Elephas maximus indicus: one gene and its partner. The protein of the gene in region 1 purifies or fractionates together with the protein of each later gene. This does not show direct contact. Links are inferred from orthologs where the notes say so. Each region holds a gene or a part of one and is shown in the gene's direction. Other genes may lie near its edges.

The links. Proteins that work in one complex are often made in the same cells at the same time.
Region 2: the proteins of EP300 (region 1) and SSRP1 purify together in Homo sapiens (affinity purification with mass spectrometry, with the first as the bait; 3 studies listed by BioGRID). This does not show direct contact. The link is inferred for Elephas maximus indicus from reciprocal best matches to the Homo sapiens genes EP300 and SSRP1.

What each region holds. Positions count from the first base shown.
Region 1 is NC_064822.1:185,258,599-185,266,400, forward strand, and holds the start of EP300 (histone acetyltransferase p300), read left to right. Parts: upstream 1-4,786; 5' UTR 4,787-5,476; coding exon 5,477-5,570; intron 5,571-7,802. UniProt on the Homo sapiens protein: Functions as a histone acetyltransferase and regulates transcription via chromatin remodeling. Acetylates all four core histones in nucleosomes. Histone acetylation gives an epigenetic tag for transcriptional activation.
Region 2 is NC_064825.1:118,746,776-118,754,012, reverse strand, and holds the start of SSRP1 (FACT complex subunit SSRP1), read left to right. Parts: upstream 1-4,228; 5' UTR 4,229-4,363; intron 4,364-4,846; 5' UTR 4,847-4,967; coding exon 4,968-5,021; intron 5,022-5,445; coding exon 5,446-5,631; intron 5,632-6,490; coding exon 6,491-6,596; intron 6,597-6,876; coding exon 6,877-7,067; intron 7,068-7,146; coding exon 7,147-7,237. Other genes in the region: P2RX3 (P2X purinoceptor 3), read right to left, coding at 2,185-2,303. UniProt on the Homo sapiens protein: Component of the FACT complex, a general chromatin factor that acts to reorganize nucleosomes. The FACT complex is involved in multiple processes that require DNA as a template such as mRNA elongation, DNA replication and DNA repair.

The sequences.
Region 1 (7,802 bases):
ACTGCAATTCAGAGAAGGATTCTTCCAAGTTTAAAAGAGTGAGAAGCAACTCTCCAAAGACTTCTTTCAACCCTATAATTTTATTTTTAAAAAATGAAATAAAGGTCTTGGCAAAAAAAAAAAAAAAAGATGGAAGGAATACACAGAGTCACTATGCCAAAAAGAATCAGTCAACATTCAACCATTTCAGGAGCTAGCGTATGATCAAGGACCACTGGTATTGAAGGAAGAAGTCCAAGCTGAACTGAAGGCATTGGGAAAAACAATGGGAAATACCACTTGAGATGTTTCAACAAACCAACGTAGCACTAGAAGCACTCACTAGCTTCTGTCAAGAAATTTGGAAGACAGCTACTTGGCCAACTGACTGGAAGAGATCCATATTTGTGCCCCATTCCAAAGAAAGGTGATCCAACAGAATGCAGAAATTATTGAACAGTGTTTTTTTTTTTTTATCGTTAATATCACACATAAGTAAAATTTTGCTGAAGATCATTCAAAAGCAGTTGCAACAGTACGTGGACAGGGAGCTGCCAGAACTTCAAACTGGATTCAGAAGAGGATGTAGAACCAGGGATATCACTGCTGATGTCAGATGGATCCTGACTGAAAGCAGAGAATACCAGAAGGATGCTTACCTGTGTTTTATTGATTATGCAAAGGCATTCGACTGTGTGGATCATAACAAATTTTGGATAATATTGGGAAGAATGGGAATTTCAGAACACTTAATTGTGCTCATGTGGAATCTGTATATAGACCAAAAGGCAGTTATTTGAACAGAACAAGAGGATACTGTGTGGTTTGGGATCAGGAAAGCTGTGGTTAGGGTTGTATCATTTCACCATACTTATTCAATCTGTTATGCTGAGCAAATATATGATCCGAGAAGCTGGACTATACGAAGAAAAACAAGGCATCAGGATTGGAGGAAGACTCATTAAAGACCCGTGTATGCAGATGACACAACCTTGCTTGCTGAAAGTGAAGAGGACTTGAAGTACCTACTGATGAAGATCAAAGACTACAGCCTTCATTATGGATTACATCTCAACATAAAAAAAAAAGAAAACAAAAATTCACACAACTGGACCAATAGGCATCATGATAAACAGAGAAAAGATTGAAGTTGTCAAGGATTTCATTTTACTTGGATCCATAATCAATGCCCATGGAAACAACAGTTGAGAAATCAAACGACATATTGCATTGGGCAAATCTGATGCAAAAGACCTCTTTAAAGTGTTAAAAACCAAGTTGTCACTTTGAAGACTAAGGTGCACTTGACACAAGCCATGATATTTTCAGTTGCCTTATACGCATGAGAAAGCTGGACAGTGAATAAGGAATATCAAAGAAGAAACGATGCCTTTGAATTATGGTGTTGGCAAAGGATATTGAATATAGCATGGACTGCAAGAACAGACAAGTCTGTCTCGGAAGAAGTAAAGCCAGAATGCTCCTTAGAAGCAAGGATACTGAGACTTTGTCTCACTTAATTTCGACATGCGGTCAGGAGTGACCAGTCCCTGGAAAAGGACATCATGTTTGGTAAAGTAGAGGGTAGTGAAAAAGAGGAAGCCCCTCAATGAGACGGATTGACACAGTGGCCGCAACAATGGGCCCACGCATAGCAAGGATTGAGAGGGTGGCGAAGGACCCGGTGCTGTTTCATTTTATTGTACATATGGTTGCTGTAAGTCAGAACCAACTTGATGGCACCTAACAACGACAACATCAAATATATAATCCAGGGTGATGATTCAACTCTACTTTTTAAAAGACATCTAAAGTCTCATACTGATTGCATTCATGTGATCCTTATTTCCCCAGCCACTTCCAACATGGCTGACTTCAGGGTAAAGGGCCAGAGGAACAAATCCCAGGGAGAGAGGCAGCATTCATCCTAGTTCCCATGTAGAGAGGAGCCTTCCCTCCTGGCCAGGTCCGTGGCCCTTGACTCCTTCTTTTAGCAGAATTTTCTCCTGTGATATTACTCAGGTCTCCTTAAGCACGTTCTTGTACCCACTCACAGTTTGGCCAGGGCGACCAAACGTTTGAATGCTATTTAGACTCAAGTTGGATCCTCTGCAAAACTAGGCAAATCTTTTTCCTAAGGTCAGAAACTCTTCAAAAAACCAGGTGAATTCCCAAAGCCAACTCTTCAGACAGGGATTGGACTGGACTATAAGACAGAAAATGATACTGGTGGGGAGTGAGCTTCTTGGCTCAAGTAGACACATGAGACTATGTGGGCAGCTCCTCTCTAGGGAGGAGATGAGAAGGCAGAGGGTGACAGGAACTGGCTGAATGGACACAGGGAATACAGGGTAGGGAGGAGGAGTGTGCTGTCTCGTTAGGGGGAGAGCAGCTAGGAGTATATTAAAAAAAAAAAACAAACCCAGTGCCCTCCAGTAGATTCCGACTCACAGCAACCCCATAGGACAGAGTAGAACTGCCCCATAGAGTTTCTAAGGAGTGCCTGGCGGATCTGACCTGCCAACCCTTTGGTTAGCAGCCATAGCACTTAACCGCTACGCCACCAGGGTTTTCCAGGAGTATATAGCAAGGTGTATGTAAAATTTTGTATGAGAGACTGACTTGATTTGTAAACTTTCACTTAAAGCACAAAAAAAAATTAAAAACAAAACAAAACCAGGTGAGCCAAGTTTCCAGGCATCCACATTTTTCCTCTGTGCTCTTCACCATGAATGTGGGTTTAAACTGTTGAAAATAACCGAATCATTCCAGAAAGCCAGTTTTGACCTTACCCCTATATGTCGGATCCATCTGGAAACAACTTTAAGGTAAAGAGGATGCTATCCTTCTTCATTTGTCTGCTTTTCACTACAACTTGGGCGATTGAGGCCTGGATGTCACATCATAGAATTCATTCTTGTGAGGTAATGTGAGTTGCTCCCTTAGAATTTTCCTTCCTAGGTTCTTATTCATTTTCACCCTCATTCATTTAAAAATCAAACAAACAAAAACCACACACACACCAAAAGTAAACCGAATAGTATGAAAATGCCGACTAAAGAGCATGAAATTTGAAAGATTAGAAAAAGCTTTTAAGCATCATCTTGGTAGATAATGGTTTAGGGGTTCCCTTGAGGCCACTTACAAATCTTGCCGCTTCCTCAAGGACCAATTTCCCCAAGGTGAAACACGGGGACCCTGTATTGTGTAGGAATGTGAAACTGTGCGTGCATCCCTCGGCTGCAAAATTGTTCGGTCACACACACATTTTCTTTACTCATATTCACCCATTTCCCCCATCGTTCCATTACTACATTTTTGCTTTTTTATAGAATTGCATTATCTTTAAGACACTGCCTAAATCAAATGTGTTCTTTTATTAAGCTAGTCTTTTTTTTTTTTTTAATTGGGAGTGGGTGGAAAGAAGTACCCCGAAACTTCCTCAGGTACCAGGCGTATTCAGAAAAATAACTTAAGATTCCGAGGAAGACTGTTGCCTAGTAGGGGCGAGTGGACACGTGCTGGAGAAGAAATGAATTTGCGTCTGGTCCTAAAACATCCTTTTACTGCTGTGATTTCTGCTGATTATCAATATATCCTCGTTGCAAAAAAGAAGGGGGGCGGATACAGAGAGAAAATGGAAAGCACCCCGCATCAGTGTGATTTTGGGATGTGAACTGCTCCCCTCCGGACAGGTGATGGAGGAGAGTGCGGACGCACTGGGTGTATGGCCCGGAATACCGGGTAGCAGGGTACGCTCTTGCTTGGTGGATTCAAGGGAGGTAAGGCCGACTGGCCGCTCACGGGCCCAGGGAGCAGGGCCATCCCCATGGGCGCTCCTATTAAGCCACCTGTGCAATGACTTGGCGCCTTCCCTGGCGTAACTCCTGGGCTCCGTCACTCCTGGTTCCCACCGGTTCCTACGCACAGACCCAACCCAGGAACCTTCCCCCGTAACTGTCCACCGACCGAAAATAGATTCCGAGTTCGCCCTCTTTCCCCCACCCCCCCCCTTAAAATCCTCCCCTTTAAAGGGAGCCACCGGGTGACGCCGGGGGAGTTTGCGGAAGCGCCAAGCGCGTTGAGGCCCTGGGCGGGTCCCGTGATTGGAACTGACCCCGCCCCCGGCTCCTCTTCCCCCATTGTGTGAGCCTCTAGGGCCTAGGCCCCGCCCCTCGCCCCCTCCCTCCCGGGCCCCGCCCCGCCCCTTTTTTCACCCCCTCCCTTGGCTCATTTCCGGCGCCGCTGCTACCGCTAGCCCGTAAGGAGGATTCGGCAGAGGGAAGAAACAACAGCCGCCATCTTGTTTGTGTGCTAGGCTAGGGGGGAGAGAGGGCGAGAGGGAGCGGGCGAGAGTGGGCAAGGAGGACGCCGGGCTGAGTGCGAGCTGCGGGAGCCAGAGAGTGCGGAAGGGAGCCGGGCCGGAGAGAGGCGACAGGGTCGAGACAGTGGCAGGGGGCCCGGGGCGCACGGCCTGGGCGACCCCTCGCCCCCTCCTGCCCGCACACACCCCCACCGCGGCCGGGAGCCGGGCCGGCGTCGACGCCTAGGGGGGACCATTACATAACCCCGCGCCCCGCGGCGCCTTCGCCCGCCGCCTAGGGCGGCCCGAGTGGAGCCTCGGGGGGCGGGCGCTCCCGGCCCCGGCCGTATTTATTTATTTTCCGCGGGAAGGGAGGGCAAAGGAGGCGAGCGCGGCGCGAGGAGAGGCCGCCTGCGCCGCCCTCCGGAGCGGGCCTCCTCGGTGGGTTCCGCGTCGGGGCGGGCGAGCGCCGCTGCTCGGCCCGGCCCCCTCGGCTCTCTGCGCCGGCGGCTCAGCGCCGGCGTCCTAGCTGCGCCTCCGCCGCCCGGCCGCCAGCGCCCGCCGCGCGATGTGAGGCGGTGGCGCCAGCCTGGCTCTCGGCTCGGGCGGGCTCTGTGCGGCCATTAGGGGCCGGTGCGGCGGCGGCGGCGGCGACGCGGAGCGCGGCGGCGGGAGGAGGGCTCGGAGGGTGGGGGCGCAGGCCCGGGAGGGGGCACCGGGAGGAGGTGAGTGTCTCGCGTCGCCTCCTCCTCTCCCCCCCTTTCGCCCCCGCCTCCTTGTGGCGATGAGAAGGAGGAGGACAGCGCCGAGGAGGAAGAGGCTGATGGCGGCGGCGCTCCGAGAGACCTCGGCGGGGCAGGGGCCGGCCGTGGCGGGCCGGGGACTGCGCCTGTAGAGCCGCGCGTTCTCGGGAGTCGGCCGCGGCGGACGCGCTCGGCGGCTTCGTGCTCTGCGCCTCCTGCGGGCTGGGCCCAGGCCCGGCCCCTCGCACTTGCCCCTACCTTTTCTGTCGAGTCCACATCCCTCTTCGGCCGCCGCGAGCCGGCGGAGAGAAAAAGGAACTTCCCCCACCCCTTCGGGTGCCGGCCGAGCCCCCCAGTCCCACCCCAGGGAGCGGGGCGGGGGCCCCGGGCCGAAGAAGAGATTTCCCGAGGATTCGCCTTTTCCTCGCTTGTATCTCCGAAAGAATTAAAAATGGCCGAGAATGTGGTGGAACCGGGGCCGCCTTCAGCCAAGCGGCCTAAACTCTCGTCCCCGGCCCTGTCGGCGTCGGCCAGCGACAGCACAGGTTAGTCTCGGGCCCGGCCTTCCCCGGCCCCTCGCACCTTTCTTCTTCCATCTTTGCTTCCTTTCTCTCTCGCCCTGGTAGCCTGCCTCTTGGCCCGAGTCCGTCGCAGAGGTATCTATCTGAATGAGCTGGTCGGAGGCGGCCGGGAGCCCTACCATTTTCTTTGCCTCCTAATCCATTCGTTGCAACACTCTGTGCTATCGATGTGTGTTCTGGAATTAGAGCTCGGAAGTGGGTGCTGTAGAGAAATGGCCTTTATTGTAGCGCCCATGCAGTTTTAGTTTGGGGAAATGCCAGCGCGTTTGTGTGCAAGGGCTTTTTTTTTTTTTTTTCCCCGGATTTTAGTTTTAATTTTTTTTTTTTGATGGTGTTAAACGAGAAATCGCGAATCCTTTCTCCTTGGTTGCACTCATTCTGTTTCCTCTACTTTCCACTCTTCAAGATTTCCTCTCCTTTGCACAAAGATTTTCTGCGGAGGATTAGGGCGTGAAAAATCGTGGTTTCTTTTAATTTTTAATTTTTGTGTGTACGATTTTGGATTTCAGGTTTAACGAGAGGTTTAACAAAAATTGGTCTGACCTACTATTCTTAGGGTTTTTTTGTTTTGTTTTTTCTTTTTGCTCTGAGAGTCAATATGGAGCGCAGTTCATTTTACATCTCCCATTTTTTTGTTGCGAGGCCAAAATGTCTGAAACTCTGGGTTTCCTCACTTGGGAGGAACAGAGATATTTTTGCAGTTTGTATTCACTTTCTCTTTTGGGGGGAAAGAAAAAAAATAAAGGATTTTGTGGAGTTATGTACCTGGAAATCAAGGATAGAAGTTGAAAGAGTCCCAATCTGCAACAAACATGAACCGATTGTACAAAAGTGAAAAATGAGGTTTGGGCCTGGGGGCGGGGGGGTTGTTCGTATTCTCTCTTTTTTTTTTTCAACCTTTTAAGCATATTCAGAGATTGAGATTTTAGTTTGAAAGCCCTGCAAATTCTTTACTCAGTTGTGGACTAGTCTTTTGTCGTGAGGATTCAGGAATACTTGTCTGCCCATCGCCCCTTTCTCTCCCTTCTCACAGCTAGTTTCGTGGTGCTGTCCTGATGGTCACCGGCCTTCCCGTTCACTGCCGTAGTTGTTTGAGATGCCAGGATAATGAAGAGGGAGAATGGCTGGCCATCTGACAGTCCACAAGATGTTCCCCTTACTACGGAGCATCTCTTTAAAAACTCCCCAGAACAGGCTCAACGTCATCCCTCCATCTGCCAGTGAGAATGCATAATGGAGTTAAATGTACCCTTTGAGTTTGTAGAGAACTTCCAGAGCATGTTTCTTACGAGGCTGCATTTCCAGGAGTGAAAATGTGAGGAAATGGCAAATGCTTTGAGTTTCTTTGCTCTTCGGAGAAAGATGCTATATGACAAGTTTAGGATAACCTGCAGTTTTGTTTTGTTTTTTAAGTAGGAATCATGCAGAGTTCCTTCACCTAAGGCTTGTAACATTGGCGCTGCATGAACTTTGTTCTGTTCTTATGCCCTGAAGTTTCTGTAGTCTTCAGGGATTTTTTTTTTTTTTAAGCCTCCCTCCCCCTGCCCCGAATTTTTATACATACACACATACAGAGTTTCTCGTTGCAGCTTACTAAAGTGTCATTTAGAAGGATTTTTTAGACCACCTTTAGACATATTTTCACATGTAGATTTTTGCGTTATCTCTTTAGTCATTTTCCATTTTTGTGTGATGTGGTCATGGATTTTACATTGGAGTTGGCTAAGTGACTTTGGGATAGTGTAGGGGTAAACTTTGCTTTAATTCGATGAGTCCTGATTGAGCAGTTTAGTCTTGGAGTAAATGCAAGGCCCAAAAGGAAGGATGTGCTCTGATGTTCAAAACTTCTCTTCAGGTGCACTATTGCATTCTCCCTGCACTGTGTACTTGGACATGTACGTCTCACTCACCTGGCTAATACATAAAAACCCTTCTGTTACTTGGAATATGTAGGAGTTCTGAGTGTATGAAATGGCTTTTTTATTATAAAAAATTATTTTTGTAATAAGAAATAAACCCTTAACATTGAGACTAATTCAGTCACAATTAGCACTAACAGTTTATCTTAATGTTATTTATTTTTCTCTAAATTTCGTAGTGAGAGTTATTATTTTTCTCTGTTCTGAAGAATTCTGTTACAGGAATTCTTTAGGATACAAACCAGTTTGGGGTTTTTGTTGGGGGAGAGGTGACTAG
Region 2 (7,237 bases), on another chromosome or scaffold:
AGCTCTTTCCCTTTGTAGAGATGTTTTTTTTCTGCCTTAGACTCCCTTCATTCCCTTTCTTCACCTAGATTCTTCCTATTCATCCTTCAGATCTTGACTTAGACATCGCCTCCCCCGGAAACCTTCCTTCAGTCCCCTGATCAGGTCAAGTACCTCCATGTTAGCAGTGCTCCTAGAACTCGGCACCTGTTCTTCAAACCCTGAACCATGGTTGAAATTTTACGTTTGTGGAGATTATTTGATTGACGTACATCTCTTGAGTTCATCTCTTGCATTATACTGTAAACTCCACAAGGATAAGGACCCTATCTATTTTTGCCTCCCATTCTATCCTCGGTTCACAATACCTAAGAAAGACTGCAGACATTTTTTTGCTAAATTAAGGACAATGGATTCCTGAAGTCATGGTGTTCACGGGTTTCTGTGCATGCGGATGGGGTTCCGGCAGGGGGTGGGGATGCAGAGCGCATTGATGTAACTGGAAGGAGCTGCTCCGTCGGGAGCTGTCAGGCTGCGAAATGGATGGGGTTGGATATCAAGATGCCAAAGAGCCTCTCCTGCTCGCTCCTGCAGGCTGGGCTCCAGCCCGGAGTATCAGATTGTGATGAGGAGAGACAAGGGCAGGGGGCCAAGAGGGCTGGTCCAGGAGCCGTCTGTCTCTATCTTCCATCTATCTCCTGCCTGAGGCCAATGGAGGTAGGCCAGTCCCAGAATATGCTGAGGCAGTTTTTGCAGTCACCTGGACCAAAATACCATCTCCTGGGTATACACAATTGCACAGTTGCATATACACACGAACACATAACGTTGAAGAACCAACGTTGGGTTGGGCTTTGGAGATGTAGACATGGAACATTTGCAAACATCATTATCTCACAACACCTCAAAGTTGCAAGGGAACCTCAAGGACATTTCATCCTTCCTTACACCTGAATCCCTTCTCTAATGTCCAGATGTACAGCCTTGTCTACAACATCCATATAACCAAAGCTCGCTGGCTCTCACAAGCACGCGAAGCAAAAAAAATCACTTCGTACACATCTACATGGCTTTCCACACACAGCCTCACACATTATCCCAATCTTTTGGGCAAGCAGACTCACTCGCATGAAGATTCCAGCCCACGTGCACACAGGAGTCCCATCTGACTTTCTTGAATGAACTCATGGCAGTTAGGCACCAGCTTGCTGCCTCTCCCACACAGACCCATTGTCTCAGGGAACAGCACGAGACTAGAGACACGCATATCAGAAAAGAAAACCCTTGAGGGGATTTCCTGGTGCCCACCAGTTTGTGGAAACGATCACGAGAAGGACAGATGCTGTGTTTCTTCCCCAGCCATTGTCTGCTCCATGGCCCTTTGTGTGTGGGGGAGCCTCCAAGAGGTGGGGGCCCAGAGGGGGCTCTTAAGCAACTCCCAGGATGGGCTATACAGCACAAACTCAGGTATAAGCAGGGACTTTATGCTTTCTGGCAAAGGGGAGCATTTCTAGATTTTTCGGGAGGGACTCCACACTATTTTCAGGAAAGTCACTTTTCTCTTCCACTCTTCTCTCGAGTATTATTTGTGCCCATGTTTCTCCCCCATACCCCAAGGGGCAGTTACCCCAGCTTTATCCTACTCTCCAAGAGTAGGGGCTTCTCCCCTTTCCAAGCTCTCTCACCATCTCCCCCATGCTAGGAGGGCAATCTCTCTCTTCTAAATGGACCCTTCCCTCCCAACTGACCCTCCGTTCCACCCTGCCACCAACCTGGTCAACTTGTCACTATCTCCCTTGTTTAAGGGTCTTCCCCTCCCCCTTCCTGGGCTCCCTTATCTTTTGAGACCCCAAATAGTTGACCAAGGGGAATGAGAGGATGTAAAGGGGGGGGTGGTCTGCCTGTTACCTAAGGGGCAGATAAGGGAATGGGGGAAGACAGATGGATCACCAGGGATCTCTCCTGGTGGAGGAACCCACTCCTCAGAGTGTGTGTCTAGGAACCGCTCTCCAACCCTGGAGGATTTACTGGGGTAAAGAACCCACCTGGGGACCAGATCCTGGGTGGGGGTGGCAGAGGCCAGTCCTTTAGGGCATGGCTCCCCAGAAGAAACTGTTTCCCCCCAGAGGGGAGACGCTCAGAAAGCTGGACAGGAAACTTTCAGTTGGTCCTCCCCTCCTAGGACCTCAAGGGCCACACACTCACCCCACAAAGTAAGAGATGATCAGAAGCTGAACAGCCCGGTTGATGATCCCAATAGTCCAGCTCTTCACAACCACCGACTTGGTGGTCTCATAGGTGAAGAAGTCTGATATGCAGTTCATGCTGAGGGTGTGCACAGGGGCCACCCAGAAGGAGCCAAACAGCAGCCTCAGGAGGGAGGGGTCTTCAGGGCAGGGAGACAGAGATGGTGGCCTGGATGGGGCAGCTGAGAGAGGGTTGGGGACGGGGAGCCTGTTCTTTTAAGCCCAGTGCCCAGGCTCTCTCTGCTATTGACAATCTGGGCTGCCAAGAGTCTAGGGCCAGGGCGGAGGACCCCCTTTTTGTTTGTCTCCACCCCACTCCCCCGTGATGTCACGGCAGGGGTGGGTCTCCAGTCCTGGGCTCCTGATTGCCTGGGATGCAGCTGGCTAGTAGGGTCCTCTGGGACTCATGTTTTATCTGCATTCTGTCTACAGTTTCTGTTCCATTCTCCTTCACTGCAGCTCACCGCTTTCTCTAAAGCCCCTTGCAATGTCCCATCCCCCAGCCACTTCACAGCCTCCCTTAGCTGAGTAGCCCCTTCATTCCTGAGTGTATGCCTAAAGCTACCCAATTCTGCAGCCATCCCCTGCCTTCCCAGTTGCCTCCAATAGCATGGGATGGGGGCGGGGGGAGGGTCTCTTGCACGGTCTCTTGGAAGGGAGTGAGTACAGAATCACACATTTCTAACTCCAGTTGGCAGTAACTGAAGCTTTACCTGTAGCATGGCAGTTATCACATTTTTTTTTTTTTTAGTATGTGAATCATTCATTAGATTACGTGTTCCTGGAAGGTTGGGGCTACTTCCATCTTGCTCACCAGTTTGCTGGAAGCCTAGAAACATGTTGGGTTAATAATAAGCCCTTATATTGGATTCAATTGAATTTATGTTTCTAGATTGTGCTGGAACAGCCACTACACAGAAGTTAAAGGTATGAGTTCAGGTGGCATTGGTGCATTCCTGTCATCTCAATCCCAGGACAGAGTGAGCAAGCTAGCTGTTTTCAGTCAGATTGTTAGGGAAACCTTGAATTTAAATATTCTGTCCTAATGGGTTGTTATGAGTTGAAGTCCTCGACTGCAACAACTTTGGTTTTTTCGGTCCTAATGTCATGCAGGGCACGTTATCAAGTATTCTGAATGCAGCATCACTGTCATTATGACTGACTGGACTGGGGTAAGGAGATCTGGGTTTTAGTCTCCAGCTTCCTCACCAGCTCACTGAGACCTTAAGAACTCCTTTTGGGGCCTCGGTTTTTCTAACTGCAAAAGGAGGTTGGATTAGATGAACTGAAACATCTCCTCCCGGTCTGGTCTCTGATTTTGCAACATGCACCTTGGGACTATATGAGAAGGGCCTAGCTTTCGCAATCCGGGACTGATGGGGTTTCAAATCAGTTCCGGCTCCAAGGTGAATCTGACACCAGCACTTGAACTTGATATGGCCGTTTGCCAGCCTCTTCCAGGAGAACATAAATTGCAGTTATGGATGTGAGGTTTTCGGGTGCAGGCAGTGAAGTCACTTCAAAAAGGGACCAATCCCACTTGACAGGACACAGCTAGAGAGCAGTACGGTCACAAGGACACCAACACCAGCATTCTCTTTGCATCTGGTGGGAAGGGTCATTTCTCTCCATGAGCTTTAAATATTTTTCTGCTTCTTTCACAGACTCTTTTGTACTCCACAGAAACCCCTACTGTGCAGGAGAGAGATAGGGGCATGCATCGTTCCAACACAGACACACACGTGTGTGGAGAGTCTGATGAAGTAAAGCTCCACAACTTCCCTTTAGAACCTAGTCCTCCACGGAAAGGGTGTCTGTAGCTTTCTAAAGACCCCATGTGCCTCCCTTTTCTAGTTGAATTCCACGGCGTAGGGCGCGCCGACGCACTGCGCCCTCACCTCCCACAGGTCCTCCCGAGCTGGGGACGCTCTATGTGACCGCCTCACAGGCGGGCCTGGATCGCGCCCCTCTAGCCGGCTCCTCCTCTCTATGTTCTGTGCGCGGCTTCCGGTGGCGGGACGCGGGGACGCGCACGCGGGAAAAGCATCCTCTGCGTTTCCCCTACCCCCTTCCCCCCTCTTGCGTCCCCCAGCGCGCCCACCGCCCGTGCCGGGGCCCTAGCGAGGCTAGAGCTTGAGGTAGGTGGCCGTCGACCTCGTGCCCCAGGAGGTCGCGGGCCTCGCTCCCCCGCGGGACTCTCCGGATGGTTCGTTCCGCGTTCGAATCCGCGGGAAGCGGGCGATTCCATTTTAGGAAACGGGGGGAGCCGTGGGGCTGGGGCGGCAAGGTGGGAGCGCTGGAAGGGAAACCCTGCATCCTGAGCTGTGATGGGGGGAGGTGCAGGCTCCGAGCAGACTTTGGGGTTCTGCTGCTCCTTGCCATGGTGCCCAGTGGGGCGCCCAAGCGGATGTTTGGTTGGCGTGTAAGCACTGTTCTAGGCCCAGTTCCCCAGCCGAGTCTGGGCCTTGCCCCTGGAGCTGTGCACAGTCTGCCCGTGGGGGCTCCCAGGCGGAGCAGATCCTGAGACATCACAGGCGCAGCCAGGGTTTGCCACTTGGTTCCAGTGGAGAGCATAGTGAGGTGTTGTCTCCTATGTTTATCTATCCCCCTCTTGAATTCAGATCCTTAACCTGCTGAGCATCTATACAACCACCAAGGAGTTGGGGCCCAGCTCCCATTTTCTCCTGTTCCCCCTTGTGCAGCCTAGGGCCCTGTGCCCAGGCCAACAGGGGCCAGGTCAGCATGGCAGAGACACTGGAGTTCAACGATGTCTATCAGGAGGTGAAAGGCTCCATGGTGAGAAGGATTGGGCTTTTAATACAGGGGGAGGGAAGGGGAGGGAAGTAGCGTTCTTCTATTAATAAGAGCTTGCTTTGATGACGTTACTAGTGTGGCAAAGGAGGACTCAGAATATTATATGTACCTGGTGTTTCCCCAACAAAAGGCAGTACTGAGCAGAATTCCTAGAGTAAAAGGATCGCAGCCTAAGAAGGCATCTTAGATGCTGTTCAGTCCCAAGTCCTTGTTACAAATGAGGAAACTAAGTACCTGCAAGGGTTCTGGGTGCCAGAGTCAGGATTAGAACCCAGGCTTCTTACTGGCCCTCACCCCTTCAGCTGTTGCTCCTACATTGATACCCCGCCAGCCCACCAGCCGCAGAATGGGGCATTGGTGAGACTGCACATTACCATCTGTACCTCTGGGCCTATTTTTCTGACAGAATGATGGTCGACTGAGGTTAAGCCGCCAAGGTATCATCTTCAAGAACAGCAAGACGGGCAAAGTGGACAACATCCAGGCCGGGGAGTTGACAGAAGGCATCTGGCGCCGTGTTGCTCTGGGTCATGGACTTAAACTGCTCACAAAGAATGGCCATGTCTACAAGTATGACGGCTTCCGAGAGTCGGTGAGCTGCCCTGTTGTGATAAATCCCGTTTTTGCTGTGCTGTTTTGTTTGTTTTTAATCTTTTGGAGAGAATTGGGCATCCTTTGTCTGATAACCATGTAATTGCTATTTTGGGCTCCTTAGAGTGAGGCCAGAGGTTCCTAAGTGGTGCAGACTGTCTGTGCTTGACTACTAACCCAAAGGTTGGAAGTTTGAACCCATACAGCTGTGCTTCAGAAGAAAGACCTGGCCATCTGCTTCTGTAAAGATTACAGCCTGACAAACCCTGTGGAGCAGTTTTAGTCTGTAACACATAGGGTCTCCTTGAGTTGGAATTGAAGGCATTGGGTCTGGTTTTGACATTTAGGGTGGGGCCGTCAAGGACACCAAGCAGTCAGTACTCAACCTTGGGTATTGTGTCTTTGTGCCTCAATTCCAGAAGATGTTCTCTTTTGATTTAGGTGATGGCTGCTCTCACTCACTGCCCTTATTCAGGTTTAGAATCTTAGCTTGATGCTTTAGTTTTAGTTTTGATTTTCCATTTTGATTTGCTTCCTAACCAAGACTTTTCCTCGTTTTAATCTTTACTTTTACTAAGGTGATATCCATACTGAGTTTAAAAAGTCTGATAGCACTGCCAGGCTCATAACCAGGAGTATCAGTGCCTAGCTTTACCCCTCCCCCAGCATGAGATCCGTTCCCCAGAAGTAGGTTCTTTCAACATTCTTTAAAACTCTTACTGCTGAGACTGAATCAGCGTAGGTTTCTGATAAAGAGTATATTAGGGTAATTTCTCAGAGATAGATCATTCCGGGACATTCAAGTCTGTTTAGGAACACTGGGGTTTACTGGGCTCAATCTCTCTCCCTTCCACCCACAGGAGTTTGAGAAACTCTCTGATTTCTTTAAAACTCACTATCGCCTTGAGTTAATGGAGAAGGACCTGTGTGTAAAGGGCTGGAACTGGGGGACGGTGAAATTTGGCGGTGAGTCCTGGGTAGAATGACGTTTGGGGGAAAAGGTAGGATGAAGGCGTATAGCCTTTAACTTGCTTGGCTCTCTTTCCTCCTCATTGTCTCTGGTTTCCTATCAGTTTGTGTGTTGTTTTTGCATTTATTGAGCACCTCCTAGTACATCAGGCATTGGGGTACAGCGTGAACAGAATAGCCCCAGTGCTCTGACCTCACATTACTTACAGTCTGGTGGGGACGTTGTTCATGCAGGCTCCAGGGAGGAGCTTGTGACTTGATAAGTCCTCCCCCACAGGACAGCTGCTTTCCTTTGATATTGGTGACCAGCCAGTGTTTGAGATACCCCTCAGCAACGTGTCCCAGTGTACCACAGGCAAGAATGAGGTGACACTGGAGTTCCACCAGAACGATGACGCAGAAGTCTCTCTCATGGAGGTGCGCTTCTACGTGCCTCCCACCCAGGAGGATGGTGTGGACCCCGTTGAGGTGAGCCCTCCCCTGGATTCCTTGGGGGCGGGTGGTGCTGAGTGGGCCTTGCCACCCAGTAACCAGTATGCTTTTGCAGGCCTTTGCCCAGAACGTGCTATCCAAGGCAGACGTGATCCAAGCCACAGGAGACGCCATCTGCATCTTCCGGGAGCTGCAGTGTCTGACTC